3 linked regions of the Caenorhabditis elegans genome follow. The protein of the gene in region 1 purifies or fractionates together with the protein of each later gene. This does not show direct contact. Each region holds a gene or a part of one and is shown in the gene's direction. Other genes may lie near its edges.

Evidence for each region.
Region 2: the proteins of nhr-188 (region 1) and C05D11.13 fractionate together in Caenorhabditis elegans (co-fractionation; one large-scale study listed by BioGRID). This does not show direct contact.
Region 3: the proteins of nhr-188 (region 1) and Y104H12D.2 fractionate together in Caenorhabditis elegans (co-fractionation; one large-scale study listed by BioGRID). This does not show direct contact.

What each region holds. Positions count from the first base shown.
Region 1 is NC_003283.11:3,854,079-3,861,950, reverse strand, and holds nhr-188 (Nuclear Hormone Receptor family), read left to right. Parts: upstream 1-4,089; coding exon 4,090-4,179; intron 4,180-4,244; coding exon 4,245-4,341; intron 4,342-4,401; coding exon 4,402-4,775; intron 4,776-5,011; coding exon 5,012-5,133; intron 5,134-5,182; coding exon 5,183-5,307; intron 5,308-5,368; coding exon 5,369-5,622; 3' UTR 5,623-5,655; downstream 5,656-7,872. Other genes in the region: nhr-187 (Nuclear Hormone Receptor family), read left to right, coding at 1-39, 257-384, 440-564, 621-862; nhr-189 (Nuclear Hormone Receptor family), read left to right, coding at 1,748-1,852, 1,916-2,012, 2,059-2,423, 2,883-3,004, 3,050-3,174, 3,237-3,490; nhr-186 (Nuclear Hormone Receptor family), read left to right, coding at 7,004-7,138, 7,845-7,872.
Region 2 is NC_003281.10:6,442,557-6,448,414, reverse strand, and holds C05D11.13 (Vicilin-like seed storage protein At2g18540), read left to right. Parts: upstream 1-3,828; 5' UTR 3,829-4,009; intron 4,010-4,442; 5' UTR 4,443-4,443; coding exon 4,444-4,592; intron 4,593-4,630; coding exon 4,631-5,300; 3' UTR 5,301-5,358; downstream 5,359-5,858. Other genes in the region: T26A5.6 (UDENN domain-containing protein), read left to right, coding at 1-85; let-721 (Electron transfer flavoprotein-ubiquinone oxidoreductase, mitochondrial), read left to right, coding at 1,509-1,743, 1,796-2,397, 2,525-3,314, 3,372-3,538; mel-32 (Serine hydroxymethyltransferase), read left to right, coding at 5,600-5,662.
Region 3 is NC_003282.8:1,174,478-1,183,364, forward strand, and holds Y104H12D.2 (DUF7930 domain-containing protein), read left to right. Parts: upstream 1-3,544; 5' UTR 3,545-3,561; coding exon 3,562-3,710; intron 3,711-3,821; coding exon 3,822-3,963; intron 3,964-4,069; coding exon 4,070-4,309; intron 4,310-5,009; coding exon 5,010-5,110; intron 5,111-6,836; coding exon 6,837-7,059; intron 7,060-8,114; exon of another isoform or gene 8,115-8,184; coding exon 8,185-8,313; 3' UTR 8,314-8,387; downstream 8,388-8,887. Other genes in the region: cec-2 (Chromo domain-containing protein), read left to right, coding at 160-493, 1,959-2,198; rmif-2 (RecQ-mediated genome instability protein 2 homolog), read left to right, coding at 8,498-8,606.

The sequences.
Region 1 (7,872 bases):
GGACTCGGTTTTATGAAGAAGCTGAGCACTAGAGATAAGGTGATTTTTGATATTTTGGAATTACGGTATGAGTACTGAAGGGATACTGTGGACTAACTCGAGAGCATTGGGGCATTTCTTTGAAATTATTGTACGGAATATTAATATTTTAGAACTGCAGAAGTATTACTGTAGGATTACACGATTAGAGGTTTACTTTGGGAGCACTTTTCAAAAAAAAAAGCTGTAGAGACTTTTCAACTTACTATTTTTTCAGTCTCTTCTCCTCGCCAACTATTCTGCCAAGGCTACCCTGTTGTTCAGTGCAATTCGAACTATGCGAGCCAAAAACGATAAAATGATAAAGCCCGATGGAAAAGATTTTTTCGTGGAATTTTTGTCCCAGTGAGTTTTCACTTATTAATTTTAAAATTAAAAAAATTAAAATATCATTCTTCAGATGGTCCGACTTCTCACTCCACTACACAAACCGTATCAGAAGCCTGCTAGTTAACAGGCTTATCGAGCTGAACATCACTAATGAGGAGTTTATTTTGATTACAGTATTGTTCTTTTGTAATCCTGGTAATATTTAGTTCAAAAATCCGTTTTTTTTGTTGATAATTTCAAAAAATTTCCAGCTCTCGACGACCTCTCCGAAAGCGCAGTAGCCGTGCTCACAGAGCAACAAAAAGCCTATGGCTCCGCGCTCATGCAATATTGTAAGCTCTCCTATCAGCATAATGGATCGTCTCGTTTCACGGAACTTCTCTCACTGTGCACAGTTACCAACAAGTATTATGAAGACGTACAATATCTCTACTGGATTTTTCAATTTCATTTTCATGTCAAGTACAAAAATCTGGTTTCTGTTATAATTTAAATTTTTTTTACCGTTGAACTTTAATGTTTTTTCTGATCTCAAAATATTGCTTGTAATTTTTTCCACTCTTTCTCATAAAAATCATTATTAAATGTGAGTTTCTGAGCTTCAAACATAATTTCTAAAAAATTAATAAAATTTTTTTTGAACGTTGAAAAAATTGGTATTTAACAGATGGTTATTCAAAAATATTCTAGCAAAAACTGGCCTAATGATCCGAAAAATAGATCTGAATTTTTTTTCATTATTCTAGATGCACATAAACCTATTCCACCGTTGTATTTTTTGGAAAAAAAGTGAAATTTTTACCAAACTAGATCCAAAAATAAAAGATTCGGTTCTTTCTCATTATTTTTTTAATTTTCCAATGAAATTTTCCAAATAAGTTTCCAAAATGTTCACCTGCACTCAAAAATTTCATTTTTTATGTGCAAAAACAGCTTCTCTCAAATTAATTTGCCACCAATTTGCAACTTTTGAAAAAAAAATTTAAAATTAATTTAAAAATTAAAGAAATTCCAAAGTGTTACATATATAACACTTCTTTTAAATTAAATATCACTTACAAAAATTTTCAAACATTTGTCAATCCAAAATGTTACGGAAAAATGTGTGTATTTTGAGCCGGAGCTTATTGACACCCTCAAAATAGCCGTGACTAAAAATTATTATTTTCAGAAATCTATAAATCTATGTACGATCACTTTTTTCGTTGTTTGATCTTATGTCCTATCTATAAACATGTTCTTAGAACATTCTAGTTCAGCTGTCTCCCCACGACTCTTTAATTATATAAAAAGAGACCGAGGAAGTCAAAGCCTGTTAAAAAGAGCAAATCCTGCTTTATTCTTTTTTTCATTTTGCTCACTGATTTCCTTATTCAAAATGGAAGATATTGATGAGTTGCCAAGCTTGGCTATGGAATTGAGTACCAGTAATGCTCCGAAATGCACAATTTGTGGGAGAGATGCATCCTGTCATAACTATGGGGTAAATATGTTTTTACTATATTTGTTTTGTCTAAAAGCTTTTTAAACAACATATAAATTTCAGGTTCTCTCGTGCAATGCGTGCAAAATGTTCTTCCGCCGCGTTGTGATTGAGCAGTTAACCTACCACTGCAAGAAATGGAACATGTGCCTTGAAAATTGTAGCTATTTTTATTTGCACACAGTTTTCAATAAATTTATTTACAGCCGGTCAGCCAATTCTTCAATGCAAAGCGTGCCGCTTCGAAAAATGCTTGCAACTTGGGATGACGCTAGGTCAACTCGAGAAGATACAACTTCCTGACTTGATCCATCCCGATTTTAAATCGGATTCTCTAATTAAAAATGTTATGTTTTTAAACTCCACAAAACGCTTCAAATTGTGCAATTTCTACACTTCTGAGGATCCAACACTGGAAGATATGGTTCAAAGAACTAAGCGATCAAGGATGAAGCGAAAAACTGGAAAACAAGTGATATCAGTAGAGGAATGGAGTTTTCAAGCTATTTATATTGCCGTTGAAATGTTTTTGAGTTTGGATTTTATGAATTCTATTGAGAATGATGATAAGGTTGGTCTTTCTCGATTAGGTTTCTTACTGTAGGAGTACGGTAAATGCACCAGGGGTGAGCGGTACGGTAAATGCACCAGGGGTCAAAATTGTGCCTTTTTGAAATTGCTTTTCCGTTTTCTTTTGATATTTTCATAGAATTTGCTTGCTTTTCAAAATAGATGTAGGAACATTCATAGAATGCGTAAAACTTTGCCGATTGAATTTGAAATTCTGAACCTTCCAAAAAAAAGGTACAAAACCACAGTTTGCCAAAAATGTTCGCCAATGGCCGTTTTTTCGGCACATTCGAAAACTTGGCTTATTGCCGTTTTACCGATTTACCGGAAATTTTTAATCCCGGCAATTTGCCGATTTGCCTGAAATTTTCAATTCCGGCAATCTACTGGTTTGCCGATTTGCCGGAAATTTCAAAATTACATCGACAGTCATCTCAATAAAACGGAACGCAATTTATAGATTGTTCTACTTCGAAATTTCTCTTCAAAATCTATGCAACTTGATAGTGCGATGAGGTCTCTGAATGCCAAAGTTGATAGAGTGATAACGCCTGATGGTAATGAAGTTTACTCGGATTTGCTGTAAGTTGCAATTTTCTGGAATAAAAAACTATATTTTTTTCCCAGGTTGGCAATGTTCTCTATTGATTTTCTAAACAGCATACGGAGCAGTTTAGTGGTTCGCGTTGAAGAGCTCAAAGTTACCGAGCAGGAGCACGCTTTGCTAAATTTTTTGCTGTTTTGTAATCCAGGTAATTTAATTTTTCAATTTAACCCAATTCATAAGTTAATTTTTGAAAAAAGCAATTTTCAGCCATCCACCCGTTATCTGAAAGAACTCGAAGACTCCTAGCAACCCGCCAGAAGTCATATAGTTCTGCCCTTCTTCAATATTGCCTTTTAACCTACCAACAATCGGGTCCTTCTAGATTTGCGGACCTTCTGTCACTATCACATGTTATCAATAAGACATCGGAAGACGCTAACAGTCTCACAACACTTTGCCAGATGTACATGCCACAAGTTAAATTGAAAAAATTGTTGATTGATATTTGTATTAATGTATAAAGGTGTTTCTTAAGTTGTAAAATTTTTGTAAAAATCCGTTTTTTATAGTTTTTTTTTAATTAAAAAATATATAATTAAGTTTGAAAACTGCTGAAAATTGAAGCAATCTAAAATTTTGCCAAATGCCAAATTGCCGATAATTTCATAAATCATCAATTGCCGGCATTGATCATCACAACAGCAATACTGCAAATCTGCTCTATCGAACAAATGGGTATCAGAAGATTTAAAAAAAATTATATAATTTTAACAAACCTTGAAAATATTCAACCTTTTTTATATGCATGGTAAAACTGTGGCTAGCCTTTCACAAAATATTTTCCGCATATTTTTTGGTCATTTTCCAAAAGGAAAAATATTTTAAACCAAACTGCCAAAAGTGCTTGATATTAAAACCTCGGTCAGCTTTTAATATCAAGCTCCCAGCTTTCATAATTTGATCTTTTGCACTTACGTCATATTCCTTGAACATTATTGTGCAGCTGCTTTTCTCCTCATTTCCTAAATTATAAATGAGAGACCCAGAAAATGAGAGCTTGAGAAAATGAGCTTAATCTTGCTTTATTAAGTGAGCTTTAGTGAGCTAACTCTCAGTCAACATGAAAGTTTTTAAAACGTTATTGTCAATGGATAGGAGCACTTTAAAATGTTTAATTTGTGGAAGAAATGCATCTTGTCATAATTATGGGGTGAGTTTTTAAAAAAATTTCACTAATAAAATTTTTAAAACATTTGGTTTTTATTCAATTTTCAGGTGCTCACGTGCAATGCGTGCAAAATGTTCTTCCGACGCGTTGTGATTGAGCAGATAACCTACCAGTGCAGGAACTGGAAAAAATGCCTCGAAAATGGTAAGGAACTCTGAAAATATTTTTAAAAACTTCTCGAATGTATCGCCAACGACTTTCCAGCCGATCAGTTCAAACCACGATGCAAAGCTTGTCGCTTTGAAAAATGCGTGAGACTTGGGATGAAGCTTGGCCCAATAGCAATGGAAAAACTTTACAAAACGAAACCGATGAGTCATCCAGATTTTGCAACAAATGCTCTAATCCAAGAAGTTTTGTATTTAAACTACACAAAACGGTACAAATTATGCAATTTCTACACATCGGAGAATCCAACGTTGGAGGAAATGGTTCAAACAACATTCTGGTCAGGGATGAAGCGGAAGACTGAAAAACAAGAAATTTCCGTGGCAGAATGGAGTTTTCAAGCTACTTATATTGCTGTTGAGACGTTTTTAAGTTTGGAATTCATGAATTTAATTGAGAATGATGAAAAGGTTTGTGGGGTATACAAAACCGAAACGGGAGTAAAAAAACGGGAGTCGAGTCGTGGGAGTCACAAAAAAATTAGATTTGTAATTATACCACGTCACTGATTTTTTTTATTTTTTAATGGAATCTATCAAAATTCCTAAAAAAAAACATAGTTAAACAAAAAATTTCCTACCGCCTTTTTGTCGTAAAAGTCTGAAAAAAAATCGGTTTAGTATAGCTTAAGCTTAAGAACTTATAGGTTGTGCTTCTCCGAAATTTCTCCTCGAAATCAATAGTCCTTGATAGTGCAATGAGGGCTCTGAATGCAAAAGTTGATAGAGTGACAACACCAGATGGCGAGGATATTTACTCGGATATAATGTAAATTTTGCACACTTTTTTCTAGATGAACCTGTTCATTTGCTTACAGATTGTCGATGTTCTCCGCTGGATTTTTAAATAGCATACAATGCGGTTTAGTGTCTCGTGTTGCCGAGCTTAAAGTCACCGAGTTGGAGCACGCTATGCTGAGTGTCTTGCTGTTTTGTAATCCAGGTAATTAAGTATTTCAATGTAACCCAATTCATAGGTTAATTATTGAAAAAGCTATTCTCAGCCATCCACCCGTTGTCTGAAAGAACTCGAAGACTGCTAGCAACCCGGCAGAAGTCATATAGTTCTACCCTTCTTCAATATTGCCTCCTATCCTATCAACAATCGGGACCATCTAGATTTGCAGACCTTCTGTCAATATCACACGTGATCAATAAGACATCAGAAGATGCAAACAGTCTTACAACACTTTGCCAGCTGTACTTTCCAAAATCTAAACTTAAACACTTATTAATTGATACTTGTATTAATGCATGATAATTTTTTTTGGGCAAATATGTAAATAAAAATCGGAACATGTATTTACTGACTTTATTGGTTTTGATAACTGCACTTATTAATGGATAAAATACACCTGATTAGAAAGTTATTTTAAAGGTTGAATTTCTTGTCAGCTAAAGCTTTTGCTCATTAAAGAGCAAATGACTAATGCCATATGTGATTTATGTCTTTCTCAGAAGTACAAATCAGAAGCCGGAAGTGATCAGTCTGAACTTTGAGAAGTTATACGAAAGCGGATTAGATTATGAGCATATGTAAAATTTTGAGCCAGATCATTGATATTTGATACATATGAGAGAACAATTTTCTAATGTTTTAAATATTAGACACAATTCCTATTTTGCTCAGAATCAAATTGTTGCTTGTTTTTCAAAGTTTTGAATTTCCTCAAAGTTTTCTTCAATATTACTTATAATATTATTGCACTTCACTATTTTATTTTAGTTGGTTATATCTCGGTTTTTATCAAAAATAACTAACTACATACAAGTGACAGAAAAGAAGAAAACAATTTTTTGTCCATTCGCAATTTTTGAAGAATCAAAACTTATATGAAGACTGTAGGCGCAAAGCAGACGGAGGTCGCCTTGAAGGCAGCGAGGCATTTTGTTCAGGCGCCTACACGGAAGCCTTGCCTATTTCCGATATATTCGTCAAATAAAAATATATACGACAGATCCAAAACTCCCGATAGTTTGTACAACTGTTACGATTGAGATTTTAGACCGCGAATTTAGTCGAATAGTTTTTTGTTTGTACCATATTTTCTCAAATTTTAAAATCGAACTTCCAAAAAAAAAATCGTTTTTTAATCATGATCAATGGAAGATTATGCTAAAAAAACCGATGAAAATTTACAGTTCTCTGTTTTTTTTTTCACTATAAATTCCCAATTACACATCATATTACCCGACATTGTATCTTTTTCACATATTTTCTTTGGGCTCTATCTAGTATAAAACCCCCTAATACGTCTCAGCGAACTACAATTTAGTTCAGTTATTCATACAAATCTCCTTTGCTCTCTTTTTCGGATTTCGTCGATCTTTGAGCAACTAGGCACACAGACGGAAAAAGTGGCAGTGTCTCTCTCGCGGAGCACCACCACCTTTTGTCCATTTCCGATCTTTTGATCACCGCCCATTTTCCTCAAGTTCTCATTTTACTACATTCACACAATTTTGATCTTTACAACTAGACTGCAGTTCTTTCAGGCGCAATTTATAGCGCAAGTTTCAGAAATCAGAAATTTGTGATATTACATTTCTTATCTTATTACATCTCTTTTTGCTCATTTGATCTCCAAAGCTCCTCCTGTCTTAAACTAGGCCTGATATTTAAATAGAATAAATTAGTAATGTCTGCCAACCCTTCGCCTGACTCGTGTGGCTCGGACTATTTGCCGACGGATATGGAGCCGGAAACCAGTGCCGTGAGTGTGTCGGAAAAATGTGCGGTTTGTGGAAAACCGGCGTTCTGCTACAATTATGGGGTAAGTCAACTTTTTTTGAAAGTTTTCTATTTAAAATCAGCGCCTGACATCTACTGGGTCAGCCAAATACACGTATGTACGGAGAGCGGCGCAACCCGGGGAATGTCGGGCGGCAATTAAAAGTTTCGGTAACTCGATAGTTTGGCAAATTCTATTTAAGGTTTTTTAAATTATCGGCATATTTGTCACTTTGCCCGTTTTTCATTTTTGGTATTTTCCGCAATTTCCAATTTTCAAAAATTTTTTCAATTCGATAATTGTCAATTTCAAAAATTTAGCAAGAGTTCAAATATCAGTTTAAAAATTCCTAACAAAATTTTTAAAAGCCCATATATTTTTGAAAAAAAAATTCTACGCATTCTTGTTTGAACTTATTGATATTTCAACTCTCTAGACATCTCTGTCTTGCACTTCTTTTTCTGTCTGCGCTGCCGGCGGAAGTAGCAAATAATGACTGAAGCTTGTACTTCGCTCTTTTGAAAGCTGTGCGAACAGAGCACGTAATTGTAACTCTATTAGTTTTTTTTTTAATACTATTTATTGGCAAAACAAAACCGATAATTTTAAACACATTTTAAAAATAAAAACTTTTTGATCTCATTGATAAATCATTTTTAAAAGCTCAAAAATTGCAAAATCTAGCAACCTGGAACAAAATTCCTACAAATTCCCACTACTACAAACCATGAAATTTTTTGATTTGCAGGTTCTCTCGTGTAATGCGTGCAAAATGT
Region 2 (5,858 bases), on another chromosome or scaffold:
AGTCAAAGCAAAATTCTCAAACTGGTGGAATCGAAAAGCAACCGCACAAGAAGGTGTTGAAGAGGCAGAGGAGCCATCTGAGTGATTTATTAAAGTCAAATATGTATAATGGGCATTTTATCATCTTTTAAAGTTTTTTATTGTAATTAGAATTTCTGTCATATTTCCTTTGTTTTGTTTGTGTTCCATTCAATTTGATCTCTTAATGATCGAATCGTTTTCATCCGGTTTATGTAAGTCTAATCAGTTTGTTTTTCATGTAATCAATATAACTATGCATTTGTTTAAACTCAAAAATTGGTTTAATATACGGGTGAAGATGAACATCCTTTTATATATTACTTTCTTCTAATGATAGAATTGTGATTTATGATCTGTGACCATTAATGTTTTGATTTTAAATACGTAGACAAGTTGAAGAGGCAAACAAATAACGTTTAATATTTAGTTGAAGAGAAAACTTTTTTTTCAAAAACTCGGATAATATTTTTTCCAGTTTTCTTATTCACATTTTAAAAGCACAATTTACAATTGATAATGTTAAAATTCAACAAACTTTTCAAACTTCCCAGGAACCCCCTACAAACTTTGTTTTCCTGTGACGTCACTAAGCTACCTTTGCACTGTAGACGTTCAGATTTGTAGTCTCTCCTCTTTTTGTCCCTCGTGGGAGACACATGTTCGTTGTACTTTGCCCTTTTGTCTACTCCTCTTATCTCTCCTTTCCTCTACACGTACGCAAAGATACACTTTACCCTGATTTTTTGCTTTTCTTTTCCGAAAATCACAACAATTATGTATTTTGTTTTCATTTGAGGAATACGTAGAAGAAAGTTATAAATTTTAGCTAAAATATTTAGAACTACAATTTTGTGACCCCAAAAATAATTCGAAAAATGTATCTTTGATAGTAAATCACCCATTTATTGTGGCTGGCTTGGCTGGTTGTTGACTTGTTTGTTTTGTCTGCAGTTGGTCAATCGATTTGTTTTTTCCCATCGTGTCTAAATATATTTTTAGTTGTTTCTTTTTTCAATTTTATGCGCCCAAAGATACAGTCACCGGTCTCGACGCGACAAAATTTTGCTAAATGAGAAAAGGCGTGCGTCTTTAATGAGTACTGTAGTTTCAAACATAAATAGGTTGCTACATAAATTCTACCGGTTTATCATTGTTTTTTTTCCAGAATTACTAAAATTTAAGTATTTATATCAACGGATATATTTGAGTCTTCTGTAAATAAGCTTATTTATTAATTATTAATTATTATTATTATTTTCGAAAATCTATGAAAAATAGAGTAAAATTCCACAGAAAATTTGAAATTATAGTATTCTTTAAAGACGCACACCTTTTTGTATTTAACAGTAACCAGAATGCATATATTTTGCGAAAAAAGCAAATACATTTTTCATTGAAAATTCACGTAATTTTTTAAAATTAAAATGCAACAATTATTTCTTCAATTATCGATTTCTTTCTCATTTCTCAATTTCTGTGACTTCAGAATGCGGATAAGTGGAGTCACATTATTCCGCGTCTCATCACAACTTCGCAACGTCGTCAACGGACAATGGACGACTACTCACTATACTGTAAAGGATCGATCCACTGATCCACGGTGGAAGGATGTTGATTTGGCACGAGAAAGTGATGTTTATGATGTTGTCATTGTTGGAGGAGGTCCATCTGGTTTATCAGCAGCCATTCGATTGAGACAATTGGCTGAAAAAGCTCAGAAAGGTAAAATCTAAACAAATACATTTTAGAGTAAACATATTTTTTTTAATTTCAGAACTTCGTGTCTGTGTTGTCGAAAAGGCATCTGTTATTGGAGGGCACACTCTCTCAGGAGCTGTAATTGAAACTCGAGCTCTTGATGAACTTATTCCAAATTGGAAAGAGCTGGGAGCTCCAGTTTACCAACAAGTTACCTCTGAATCTATCGCTATTCTCACTGAATCTGGTCGAATTCCAGTTCCAGTGCTACCTGGAGTTCCACTTGCAAATCACGGAAACTATATTGTTCGTCTTGGAAAGGTCGTTCAATGGCTCGGCGAGCAGGCTGAAGCAGCTGGAGTCGAAGTTTGGCCAGAAATCGCTGCATCTGAAGTGCTCTACAATGAAGATGGAAGTGTGAAGGGAATTGCCACAAGTGACGTTGGAATTGGAAAGGATGGAGCACCGAAAGATGGATTTGCTCGTGGTATGGAATTCCACGCGAAATGCACAATTTTCGCTGAAGGATGTAGAGGACATTTGAGCAAGCAAGTTCTCGATAAATTTGATTTGAGAACACATGCAATGACTTATGGAATTGGACTCAAAGAACTTTGGGAAATTGATCCAGCAAAGCATAGACCTGGTTATGTTGAGCATACTATGGGATGGCCATTGGTAAGTTTCTGAAGATCTAAAAAATTAAGAAAAATTGAAAAATCTAGTAAAATGTGAGCTTTTTTTTTGAGTGTTTCAGATTAAAAGATATATTCTAGAATTTAATCTCTAAAAAATGATTTTTCAGAATGTTGATCAATACGGAGGATCCTTCTTGTACCATATCGAGGATCAAGGACAACCACTTGTTTCCGTTGGTTTCGTTGTTGCTCTTGATTACGCGAATCCAAATCTCAATCCATACAAAGAATTCCAAAAATACAAAACTCATCCATCGATTTCTAAACAATTGGAAGGAGGAAAACGAATTGGGTACGGAGCACGAGCTCTCAATGAAGGAGGATTCCAAAGTATCCCGAAGCTTCATTTCCCCGGAGGATGTCTTGTTGGATGCTCAGCTGGTTTCTTGAATGTCGCTAAACTGAAGGGAACTCATAATGCAATGAAAAGTGGAATGGTGGCTGCTGAATCAATTTTCGAGGATATTCAACAAAAGGGAGAGGATGTGCAAACGATTGATCCAGCTACATATGACAAGAATATTCGTGATACTTATGTTGTTAAAGAGCTCAAAGCAACCAGAAATATTCGTCCATCATTCAATACTTCATTGGGATACATTGGAGGACTGATCTATTCTGGAATATTCTATGTTTTCGGTCGAGGAATTGAACCATGGACTCTTGGACACGGAAAGAAGGATAATGAGAAGCTCATTCCAGTGAAGGATGCAAAAGAAATCGATTACCCAAAACCAGATGGAAAGCTAACTTTTGATCTTCTTACATCTGTATCTCTTACTGGAACCAACCATACAGAAGATCAACCTGCTCATTTGACATTGAAAAATGATCAAGTTCCACTTGATGTGAATTTGGCAGTATATGGTGGCCCGGAGGCTAGATTCTGTCCAGCTGGTGAGATTTTAATACAAATTTGACTTTTAAAAACACATAAATAACTTTTTTTTCCAGGAGTCTATGAATTCGTCCCATCCGAAGCTGATGAATCAAAGAAGCGTCTCCAAATCAATGCTCAAAATTGCATTCACTGCAAGACATGCGACATCAAGGATCCTCAACAAAACATTAACTGGGTTACACCAGAAGGAGGTGGTGGCCCAAAATACGAGGGAATGTGAATCCTTTAGCTTCTCGTTTATGTTTGTGTATAATTTTTGTACTTATTTATTCGCCACTATCGACTCGTAGATTATGTATTTCTGTTCTTCAACGGTTTCTCTCAATTTTCTCTCATTTTCGTGTTCCCCATCTTTTGTAATGCCATTACATTTTTATCCAAACCAAATGAATAGATTTCTGATTAGTGTGTACTTGAACGGAAAAGCTTCAATATTGCCATAATTGTGGTACATATATACATTCATCCCACTACAGTATCCTTTTCTGAAAAGATTGCAAAGTGTTGTATAGAAGAAGAGACGCAGATAATCAAACAAGACGTCTGCGCTCGTGTATGTTTGTCTCTGGACAGACATACACACAGAAACACCGACAATGAAGATATGAAGACACACAGACACACAGAAAGCCGTCATCGATTCTCCTGTTTTCTTTGAGCCTTATTTATATTTTTCTTATTACTCCGACGCGTAATTTTGAGATTTTTGCGCCAAAAACGGTACCCAGTCTCGACATGATATTTTTTTTAATGTGATAATTTCAAAACGGTGCACACCTTTGGAGAGTACTTTAATTACAAACTTTTGTAGTTGCGGAATGTTCATCGATTTTCCATCGTATTCCGATGAAAAACATCCTTAACTATTGAAAACTCAAAAAAAAACACGAATTTTAACAGAACGTAAGAAAAGTATGAAAAATCATGAACGGTTCCACACCAACTAGATTAAAAAATTACAGTACTCCTTGAAGGCGCACAAGTTTTTCTCATTTAACTAAAACATGTCGTGTCGAGAATCGGCACCGTATTCTTGGCGCAGGAGTCGCAAAACCTCTGTCTGTGTATTTAGTAATGTAGATTTTCAAGTTTTCTGAAAAATTAATGTATATTTGTAAGTTCAGAATGAGTAGAAAAGATTGCAAAAATATTGTCGAAGACGAAGAAGAAGATGAGAAGAGTAATGGGAATAAATCTGAAAGTCCACAAAATGCTGGCCTAGAAGAAACAATTCAGAATTTTATAGCAACATTTTTACCTGGTTCAAGTGATGAGTAAGAGTAGTAAATAGCATATTAAAATTTTTTTTAAGTTTCAGACCTCATATTACGGATATTCCAAGTTCATCCGAACCTCAAGAAGGATCTAGAGAATGCAGACTCTCCAAAGAAGCACATCGGAAACGTCTGAGAAGAGCTCGTGAAACATCAGAGGAGACTCACACACGTCTTGCCAAGGCTGCAGACTATAAAAGGAAGAGATGCTCAGAAGAGACAGAAGAAGAATATAGAGAACGATTGAAAAGGCAAGCTGAAAGAAAAAAAATGGAAAGAATGCAAGAGTCGGAAGATCAGGCAAATAATCGAAGAATAAAGGCTGCAGAGCATCGACGCCAGTATCTGCAAAGGGAGTCATTCGAAAAAGCTCAGGAAAGAAGGAATAAGGATGCGGAACGGAGAAGGAAGAGTCTCCTGGCTGAAACTCCAGAAGAAGCTGAATTGCGTAGAGCCAAGAATGCTCAGAGACGTCGGGATGCTATTAAGAATGAAACACCAGAGGAAGCTGAAAATCGGCGACAGCGTGATGCAGCAAGAAGACGGCAATATTTGCAGACGGAGACTTCAGAGCAAAAATCAGCTAGGAAAATCCAAGATGCTGCACGAAAACGTCAAAATCGAATTTTGAAGCAAGCAGGGCAAAGTGAAGAATCACTTGCAGTCATCACGGGATCATTGAGCGATGGAACTCTTTCGGGTCTATAAAAATTAATTGAAAATTTTTTTAATAAATAAGTAGTTTGTTGTTTGACCTTTTGCTTTTAAAACCGATAAAATCGTATTAATTTTTTGAATCAACGGTCCGCTCATTTCCACCTATCAGTCTTTAAATTCTGTTGAATCGCAATAAAAACGGCAAGTTTCATCTCTTGTTTGCAACAAAACAGAGAAACTGATAAGACTGATAACGATCAGTGGTCTGATCGATAGTCGATTTCTGTTTTAACACATTTATTCTGAAGTTCTAGAATTTTATTTGTTATTTTAATATTTTCAGGCACAAAATGTTTGCAAGGATAGTGAGCAGAAGAGCAGCAACTGGATTATTTGCCGGAGCCAGCTCCCAGGTTTGTGTGTGCACTTTCGCGTGGGATCAGTTGTAAAATACGCATGGCGCGAATATTTGAATTTGTAAAAATTTTGCCCGCTCAAAGTTGCAATTTGCTTTTCTCTCCCCATTTTCATTCCCAAAACGGCACCGTCCATGGTTCACTCGTTGTTTCTGATCAGAAAGTGATCTTCATCATAATATCTTGCCATTTT
Region 3 (8,887 bases), on another chromosome or scaffold:
GTGTACTGCACATATATATGGTTACAGTAATCTAAGAAACACCGGATTTGACGACAACTTGCAGAAATTTCGACTTTTTTCTGCAATTTGTCGTCAGATTGTGTTTACCAACAAAAAAAATCGATAATTTCACACGAAAAAAATTATCGATTTTTTCAGGACTTTACCGCCAACAATGTGTGCCGCCGTCCGTTCCACCCGTTACGACATTCGCCGTGATTTCCGTTGCCTCCATAATCAATATATTGATAAACGTCCACGAATGTGTGAATGGTTCAGTGCCACCGGCGGCGGCGGCTCCTGCGGCACCACCGAAATTTGCACATTTTGGAACAACGACGCTGGCTACCTTCCCAATACGCACCAACGCTCGAAATTCCACGTGGATTTGAGTGAATTCACTGGGAACAATTTGGGGCTCCTCGCGTTTTCAATGGCATGGCACGAGGATTTCATCGATAATAATTCTGGGGGGCCGGAAATCGTGAAAAATGTATGCAAAATTTGTGATTTTTCTCGAAAAATGATGCAGGAAAAATCGATAATTTTGCGAGCATTTTTACGCCAAAAACTAGTGGAAAATCGTGTGAATTCCATGCAAACACCGGACTTCACACGACAAATTGCGGATTTTCTGCAATTTTGCGTCAGATTCGGTGTATTTGGGTGTTTGCACAGATTCACAGGGGCTACAGTAATCCCCAAAGTTTAAAAATAAATAATTTTTGTTTCAAAATGATTCGAAAATGTGTGAAAAATGGGGCTTTTACAACAAATTTTATATGGAAATCGCGATTTTCGTACGATTTTCAATGAAAATTTTGAATTTATCGTGAATTTTCTCTACAAATCCGGAAAACGTGATTTTTCAGCCGTGAAAGTGCGATTTTTGAGCTGCGAAAAACTGCGAAAACTCCTGGTCCTGTGCAAACACATCGGTAATACACCGAACCTTACGACAGAATGCAGAATAATCCCGTTTAAACGTAGAATTTGAATTTTTCGCGTTTTGTCGTCAAAATTTTGCGCAATTTAATACTTTTTGTAGAAAAACTCCATTTTTTACCAAAAAAAAACCGTTCAAATCCAGTTTTCCGGTTACTGTAGCCATAAATCGGTGTTTACACCAAATCTGACGACAAATTGCAGAAAAAAGTCGAAATTTCTGCAAGTTGTCGTCGAATCCGGTGTTTCTTAGATTACTGTAGCCGTATATATGTGCAGTACACAGAATCTTACGACAAATTGCAGAAATGTAAAAATTTCTTGAATTTTCGGTAAGAATTGAGTTCAAAAACGTGAAAAAGTAAAGAAAATGGCTTTTTTTTTAAAGGTAAATTTCACCGAAAATTCGAATTTTCTGCGAATTGTCGTCAAATCTGGTGTTTCTTGGATTACTGTAGCGTCAGATGTGTGCAAAACACTGTATTTTACGACAAATTGCACAAAACTTGAATTTTCAGTAAAAATTGAGTTCAAAAACGTGAAAAAATCTAGAAAATTGCTTCTTTTTTTTTTGTTGATAATTTGACCGAATATTCAGATTTTTCTGCAAATTGTCGTCAAATCTGGTGTTTTTTGGATTACTGTAGCGTCAAATTTGTGCAAACACCTTTTACTTGAATTTTAGGTGGAAATTGAGATCAAATTGCATGTTTTAGGAGATTTTCAATAAAAATTTAAATTTTCTGCAGTTTGTCGTAAGATCTGGTGCACTGCAAACTTTTGGTGCTACAGTAACCTAGTCCACACTAAATCCTACGAAAAACTGCGGAGTTACGACAAAAAATATAGAAAATTTCATTTTTTTTTAAAGGTAAATTTCACCGAAAATTCGAATTTTTTGCAAATTGCTGTCAGTTTCAGTGTATTTGCGCAAGATTTTCATCCAATTTTCATTGAAAAATGCGATTTTCGCCCTGAAAAATCTCAAAATTTTTTAATTTTTTAATTTCCAGAACCGCTTCAACGCCCACATCGATGTCCCATGCTTCACCCTTTGGATGAACGGAAAAATGTGCGAAAAACTTGAAAATTCGCATGGATTATCGATTTTTCGGCCGCTCGGCACAGTGCTCGACGTCAACGAACTGAAAATCAAGATTACTGAACATTCGTCACGTTTTGTCGCAATTTTGCCGGTTTTTAATTTGAATTCCGACTGGAAAAATTGTTTTTTTCCCCTGGAAAATCAATAATTATCGATTTTTTTCTGTTGAATTCGTATTTTCTATAATTTGCCGTCGTTTTCACTCGATTTCCCACTGATTCATAATAATTTTCTTTAAAAACCCACTGAAAAATCGATTTTTCCGCTAGGGAATTAATTATTATTGATTTTTTTTTGATAGAAAATCGATTTTTATCGATTTTTCGCTAATATTTAAAAATCAATTTATCCTAATTTCTCACTGAAACCCCCCCCCCCCCTATTGCTATCATGAATTCATGATAGTTTTCTTTAAAACCCACTGAAAATCGATTTTCCGCTAGAAATTTATCGATTTTTCGCAAATTTTTCATCACTTTTTCCCGATCTCGTTGTTTTTATCCCGATTTCATGTCAAAAAAATCAATTCCGATTACAATTCCATGACCAATTCTAAATTACAGAAAAATCGATTTTTTACGAAATTTATCGATTTTTCGCTATTTTTTCATCACTTTTTCCCGATCTCGTTGTTTTTTTTTTGAATTATTGCTAAAAATCACTTCCGATTACAATTCCATGACCAATTCCGCCCAAACTATCGATTTTTTGCTTGAAAATCGATAATTTTTCAACCGATCTCTTGTTTTCTTTTTAATTATCATTAAAAATCACTTCCTCTCACAATTCCACCACCATTTCCGCCAACAAAATCCACAAAATTATCGATTTTTCCGCCGGAAAATCGATAATTCCTGTTTTTTTTGTATTTTCCCCTATTTTCTTAATTAAATTGCTTGTAGAATTGCCTAGTATCCTAGAATTCTAATAGTAACCGCTAATATTATTGATTTTTCCAAAAAAACCCTGAAATTATCGACTTTTACCTAAAAATTGTCGTTTTTCTTCTGTTTTTATTGTGTTTTTTCGCCGAAAATTGTCGCATATTGTTAATAGAATCTCATTTTCTGCCCAACATGGCGCAATTCTTTTAATTTACCCTGACTAATGTGCTTTTTCTCACTTTCTACACCATTTTTGTGAACTTTTATCGATTTTTTTTTCTCGTGATTTTCCCCCATATATCATTGACCTACTTCACACATATGCAACTTCTGAACACTGGAATAAATTTATTAATGTTTCATTACTAAAATCTTTTGAAATTGCGAATTAAATTGATTTAAATCGGGGTTTTGCCGCACTTTCTGCGATATATTGCAATTTTTCGGTTTGAACTCCCGCGCATTTGAATTAACGACACTCCGATATCCCGCCAGCGCGTGTTGTTTATCGCGTTTTGTTTTTTGAATAAAATTGTTTATTTTTGAGCCAAAATCTTTGATTTCAACGGTTTTTTCGTGATTTTTTGTTAGAATAACTGAAAATTTAGAGATTTCAAGCAAAAAACTATGCCAGAACCAACGGAATTGTCTGGAATCATCTCAAAACTTGAGGAAACCTACGCATTCGCCACCACCAGTCTTGGAAACGTATTTATACCGATTGCAGCGGCCAGAACCAAGAACGAGACGCTTTTAAGCTTGCTCGACAAGTTTTCGTGAGTTTTTTTTGCTGGAAAAGTTACATAAATCAATTAAAAATCAAAGTTTTGGGTGAAAATTCAAGTTTTTTCGAACTTTTCCCGGAAAAAATCGATAAAGTGTTTCAGATACAACGAAACTGTGCAAATGGTGGTTATTAAACAGATAGGACGCAAAAATAACTGCAATTATCAGGCAAAACTCGTGAAAAAGCTCGAAGGCTCAATGTTGGCGGCCGCCAGAATTTCCAATGAAGTTTTCGGGCCATTGGTGGGTTTTTAGGGTTAAAAACTTGGTTTTAAGTGAAAAAATAGTCAGAAAATTGAATTTTCCATAGTTTTAAAGCTAAAAAATCTCGAAAATCCCGTATTTCCAGATCGCCCAGGTGACCAGCACCACGGATAGCTACGCGTTTGCTCAAAACGACGAAAAAGGCACAATTTTCGTGCCGGGAGACGCTTTTGACGCGAAAATCGTGAAAAATGTGGGCCGATACGTGAATACCAGCAATCAACTGGTGCTAAAAATCAAGGAGCAAATCGAACGAAAAGGGTGTAAATGGGTCGCTGTTGAGGCTGTAAAACACTTTGTTGTCGAGGAAAATGAGGAGAAAGAGGTGGAAAATCGAGAAAAATCGATAAATTTTGATCTAGAGCTCGGAAAACTGCTGAAAAAGTGAATTTAGAGCAGAAAATTGGAGTTTTGAGCCGCCGAATGTCCAATGTTCAAGTAAAAAAATGTGAATTTAGAGCTAAAAAATTTAAAAAATGGCAAATTTCGACTAAAAATATAACTTTTCTCCCGAAAAAACGAATTTTTATGACAAAGTTGAGCCATTTTGGTATTTTTGCCCAAATTTCAGCTAACAACTTAAAAATGATCTAAAATATCCAAATTTTTGTATAAAAACCTAAAAGTTCTCCAAAAAGTTCAATTTTTTGCCCAAATTTCCGCTAAAACCTGGAAAATACTCTAAAATACCCAAATTTTTGTATAAGAACCTAAAAATTGCGAAAAAATATCCAAAAAAAAAAAAAGACTTTTTGTCCAATTTTCTGTTCAAAACACGGAAAAACTATCCAAATTGCACTAATTATACAAAAATCTGTTTTTTTTGGCCAAAAAAAATTTTTTTTCGGCTAAAAACTCGGAAAATTAATTAAAAATGCCCAAATTTTTGCCTAAAAACCGAAACATTGCAAAAAATTCACAAAAAACTCAATTTTCGCCCAATTTTCGAGCTGAAAACACGAAAAATGCTCAAATTTTTCCCCCAAAATATGCCGAAAATCAATAAAAATTTCAATTTTTTTCAGGCGGTAGCAACTGGAGAAGTAAAAATTTCGTGGGGAGTCGTTGTGGAAGTTGATGAAATGGAAGCACATGTATTAGATGAAAAGAATGGAATACTTGTTACGTTAGTAATGTTAAAAACTAAAAAAAATCTTAAAAATCTTAATTTTATAACTTTCTGTAAAAAAAACGAAAAAAAAAAATCGAATTTTTAGATAAAAACTCTGTAAAATCGAGAAAAATTGACTGTTTCGGGCTTATTTTCAGACAGAAATTAGAAATATAAAAGCTAATTTCACAGAAACATAAACTTTCACTAAAAATTGGCTTTTTACAAAATTTCTTCAGTGAAAATCTGGAAATTTTACCAGAAAAATTCCGGAAAAATGTCAAAATGTTGACCATAAATCGAAATTTGTACAAATTTTCGGAGAAAATTGCATTTGATCATCAAATTTCATCAGTTTTTACATTTTTTTCAGTGAATATCATACAATTTCACCAAAATATTGGAAAAAAATCGGGAAATTCACATTTTCTATGTGGAAAATATAAGAAACCAGCCGTGGACCGCACCTACGGCGCGGCCCCCGACTTTTTGAGAAAACACATTAGATATACGGTGTCTATCGCGGACCTCGATCGATGTCTGCTGCGCACTTAGCATAAGGTTTCCCAAAATTTCGTTGCTCTGATCAGAGATCAAACTACATAAGGACAGAAGGACACGCGCTTTATATATAGTAAATGATATAGGAAAAATCCTGGAATTTTCCAGATTTTTCTGTGAAATTCTAGAATATTTTTGGTTGAAAATGTCAAAAATCCAGAAAATTTTCAGAAAATTTCCCTGTATATTGTCTGTGACTTGTGTGTTTCTCTATCCGAATTGATGGTTTGAATAGTGGTATTCTCGGCTGAAATATGCAATAAATACCGTATTCCAACCAACAATTTGTGCAATAGAGCACATTTGTCACTGGAGATGCAGAAGCTATGCCCAAATTTTCATTTAGCGCGGAAATTTGGCTGTTTTCGGGTGTAAAGTAGAAAATTTGGAAATTTCGACATTAAAATTTATTATAAAATTTGAAAAAAAATCCATAAAAATCCCTTTTTTCTGACAATTTTCTGTTAAAAATTGGTAGTTTTTTGGGTTTTTTTAAATCCCAGTTTCCGAGGAAAGCTATAAATTTGGGTACGGTAACTCGGAATTTATGATGTTTTTTTTTAAAGCTGTAAAAACTGAAAAATTCTGCTCAATTTCCAATTTTTGTTGAAAACCTAGTGGTTTCTTGGATTGTTCTAATTTTTTATCAAAATCCTGCTGAAAATTAGAATTTTTAGCTTTTCCGCTTGTTTTTCGGAATTTTTTGTGGCTTTTTCCAGGTAAAAAATCCGTTTTTTACGGAAAAAACGGCAAATTTTTGAATTTTTCGATGTTTTTCCCATGAAAATCGGAAAATTTGTATTTTTTGTTTATTTTTAAAGGAAATTCGAATTTTTTTTCGTGGCGAGACCCAACCTTTTCAGACTTTGCGCAAAGTAGGTCAAAATTATACGGCAACTTGGCAACTGAATTTCCCAATACTGTCTGTGACTTGTGTGTTTCTCTATCCGAATTGATGGTTTGAATAGTGGTATTCTCGGCTGAAATATGCAATAAATACCGTATTCCAACCAACAATTCGGTGCAATAGAGCACATTTGTCACCGGGGATGCGGAAGCTATGCCCAAATTTTCATTTTTCAGGAAAAACACCTTTTAAAAGCCAAAATTGGGCCAAATTTCATAAATTTTTGGCCAAAAAACTTAAAATTTTCACCAAAAATCGCCTTTTTTTTTGCAGATGCCCAATTCTAAAATACACTGGCGGAGCAGATGATAGTCCTTCGGCTCGAGCACTAAATGACGTCATATCAATCGATAATCACGTTATGTTCAAAGCTATGCTAATCAATGGAAGATATGACGCTGTTGAATGGAAAAAAATTGCCGATTCTCATGAACTTGTGATGCCGAAAAAAGTGAACACGTCGGATTCGTATGCACAGACTCCTGCGTGTCTTGTGGTACGGGGTTTTGAGTGGAAATTTGGGATTTTCCGCTAAAAATGAGCTGAGAAAATCGGAAATTTTAACCCTAAATTGCCTGGAAATTCGGAATTTTGCGTTAAAAAAAGTGAAAAAAAAACATTCAATTTTAGATCCAAAAAGTTTATTTTGGAAGCTCCCACTTTGGCTGAAATTTTGATATTTCTGGTTAAATTTTACCGGTTTTATGCAGAATTTTTTATAATTTTCCACTTTAATTGGCATTTTAGAGCCTTAATTTTTACTAAAAATGCGCTAAAAATTTGATATTTTACTAACTTTTGTTAGAAATGTGAATATTTTATTAAAAAGGTTGATTTTTATGTAAATTAAATTATTTTGTCAACAAAAATTAGATAAAAATTCGGAAAACCCATTTTCCATACCGTTTTCAGATATTTCTGGCCTCCTTTGCAAAAAAATGAAAAATTGGAAATTTTCAGGAATTAAAAAAAATTCAAAATTTTTCAAATATCTAAACAAATTAGGATACTTTGACCGATTTTGCTACGCTTAGAAAAAGTTTTAGTCCATTTTCTAAATTTAAATCAATTTTCTGACGACATTTTTCAAAAAATTTGAAAAATTTCACACATTTTGACTAGTTTTTTTTCCAAAAATGTAAATTTTTTTTAAACTTTAAAAAAGTTTTTTAAATTAAAAAGCTGTAAAAACCGAAAAATTCTACCTAATTTCCAATTTTTTGTTGAAAACCTAGGATTAGCTTGGATTTTGCTAATTTTTCTCAAAATTGTGTTGAAAATCTGAATTTCTAAGCTTATCCGTTTTTTTTTCTAACATTTTCGGCGTTTTTCATCCCAGTTACCGAGGAATGCTATAAATTTTGAGTACGGCAACTCGGCAACTGAACTGAATTTCCCTGTATATTGTCTGTGACTTGTGTGTTTCTCTATCCGAATTGATGGTTTGAATAGTGGTATTCTCGGCTGAAACATGCAATAAATACCGTATTCCAACCAACAATTTGTGCAATAGAGCACATTTGTCACTGGAGATGCGGAAGCTATGCCCAAATTTTCAATTTTTCACGTGAAAACTTTGTCAAAATCACTAAATTTTCGCCTAAAAACCTGAAATATTCAGACAATCATGTTCCGAAAACTGCTCCAAAATCATCCAGAAGATATGGATCGATACTCATCAATATTGGATCAATTGCCACCGTCAGCACTTCCAGATTGCTATTTTTCCCGTGAAAATTGCACGGAATAATGGGATTTTTTTTTTGGTTTTTTTTTCGGTTTTATTCTCGAAAACGTGTTTGTCAATACTAATTATTGGGTTTTTTTTTCACAATTTTGCACTTATTTTCCGCACAAAATCGGTTAAAATTCCGGCTTTTTTTTACCTATTTTCACCCATTTTTTACCCCAAAAAACCGGAAAATCCATAGAAAATGTGCGATCGAGACGATTGTGCAAGTATCGCGAGCCGCTGCACCGGAGAAACTATCATTTGTGCATTTGTGGAATCAATCACACCGCCCAAGATTCGAGATAAGACGGGTAGGTTTTTTTTTTGCGGAAAAACTGCAAAATCCACTTAATTATCGATTTTTGGTGCGGAAAACGCCGAAAAATTGTCATTTTTGGGTTACTGTAGCCCCAAACATCACACCAATGCATCGGATCTTACGACAAAATGCAGAAAAAATTCGATTATTACGTAGAACCGCGTTTTTCCGCATTTTGTCGTAAAATCCGGTGCATTGATGCGGTTTTTGCACGGATTTAGGGATACGGTAACCACAAATTCGATTTTTCATTAAAAAATGACATAGTGCTAA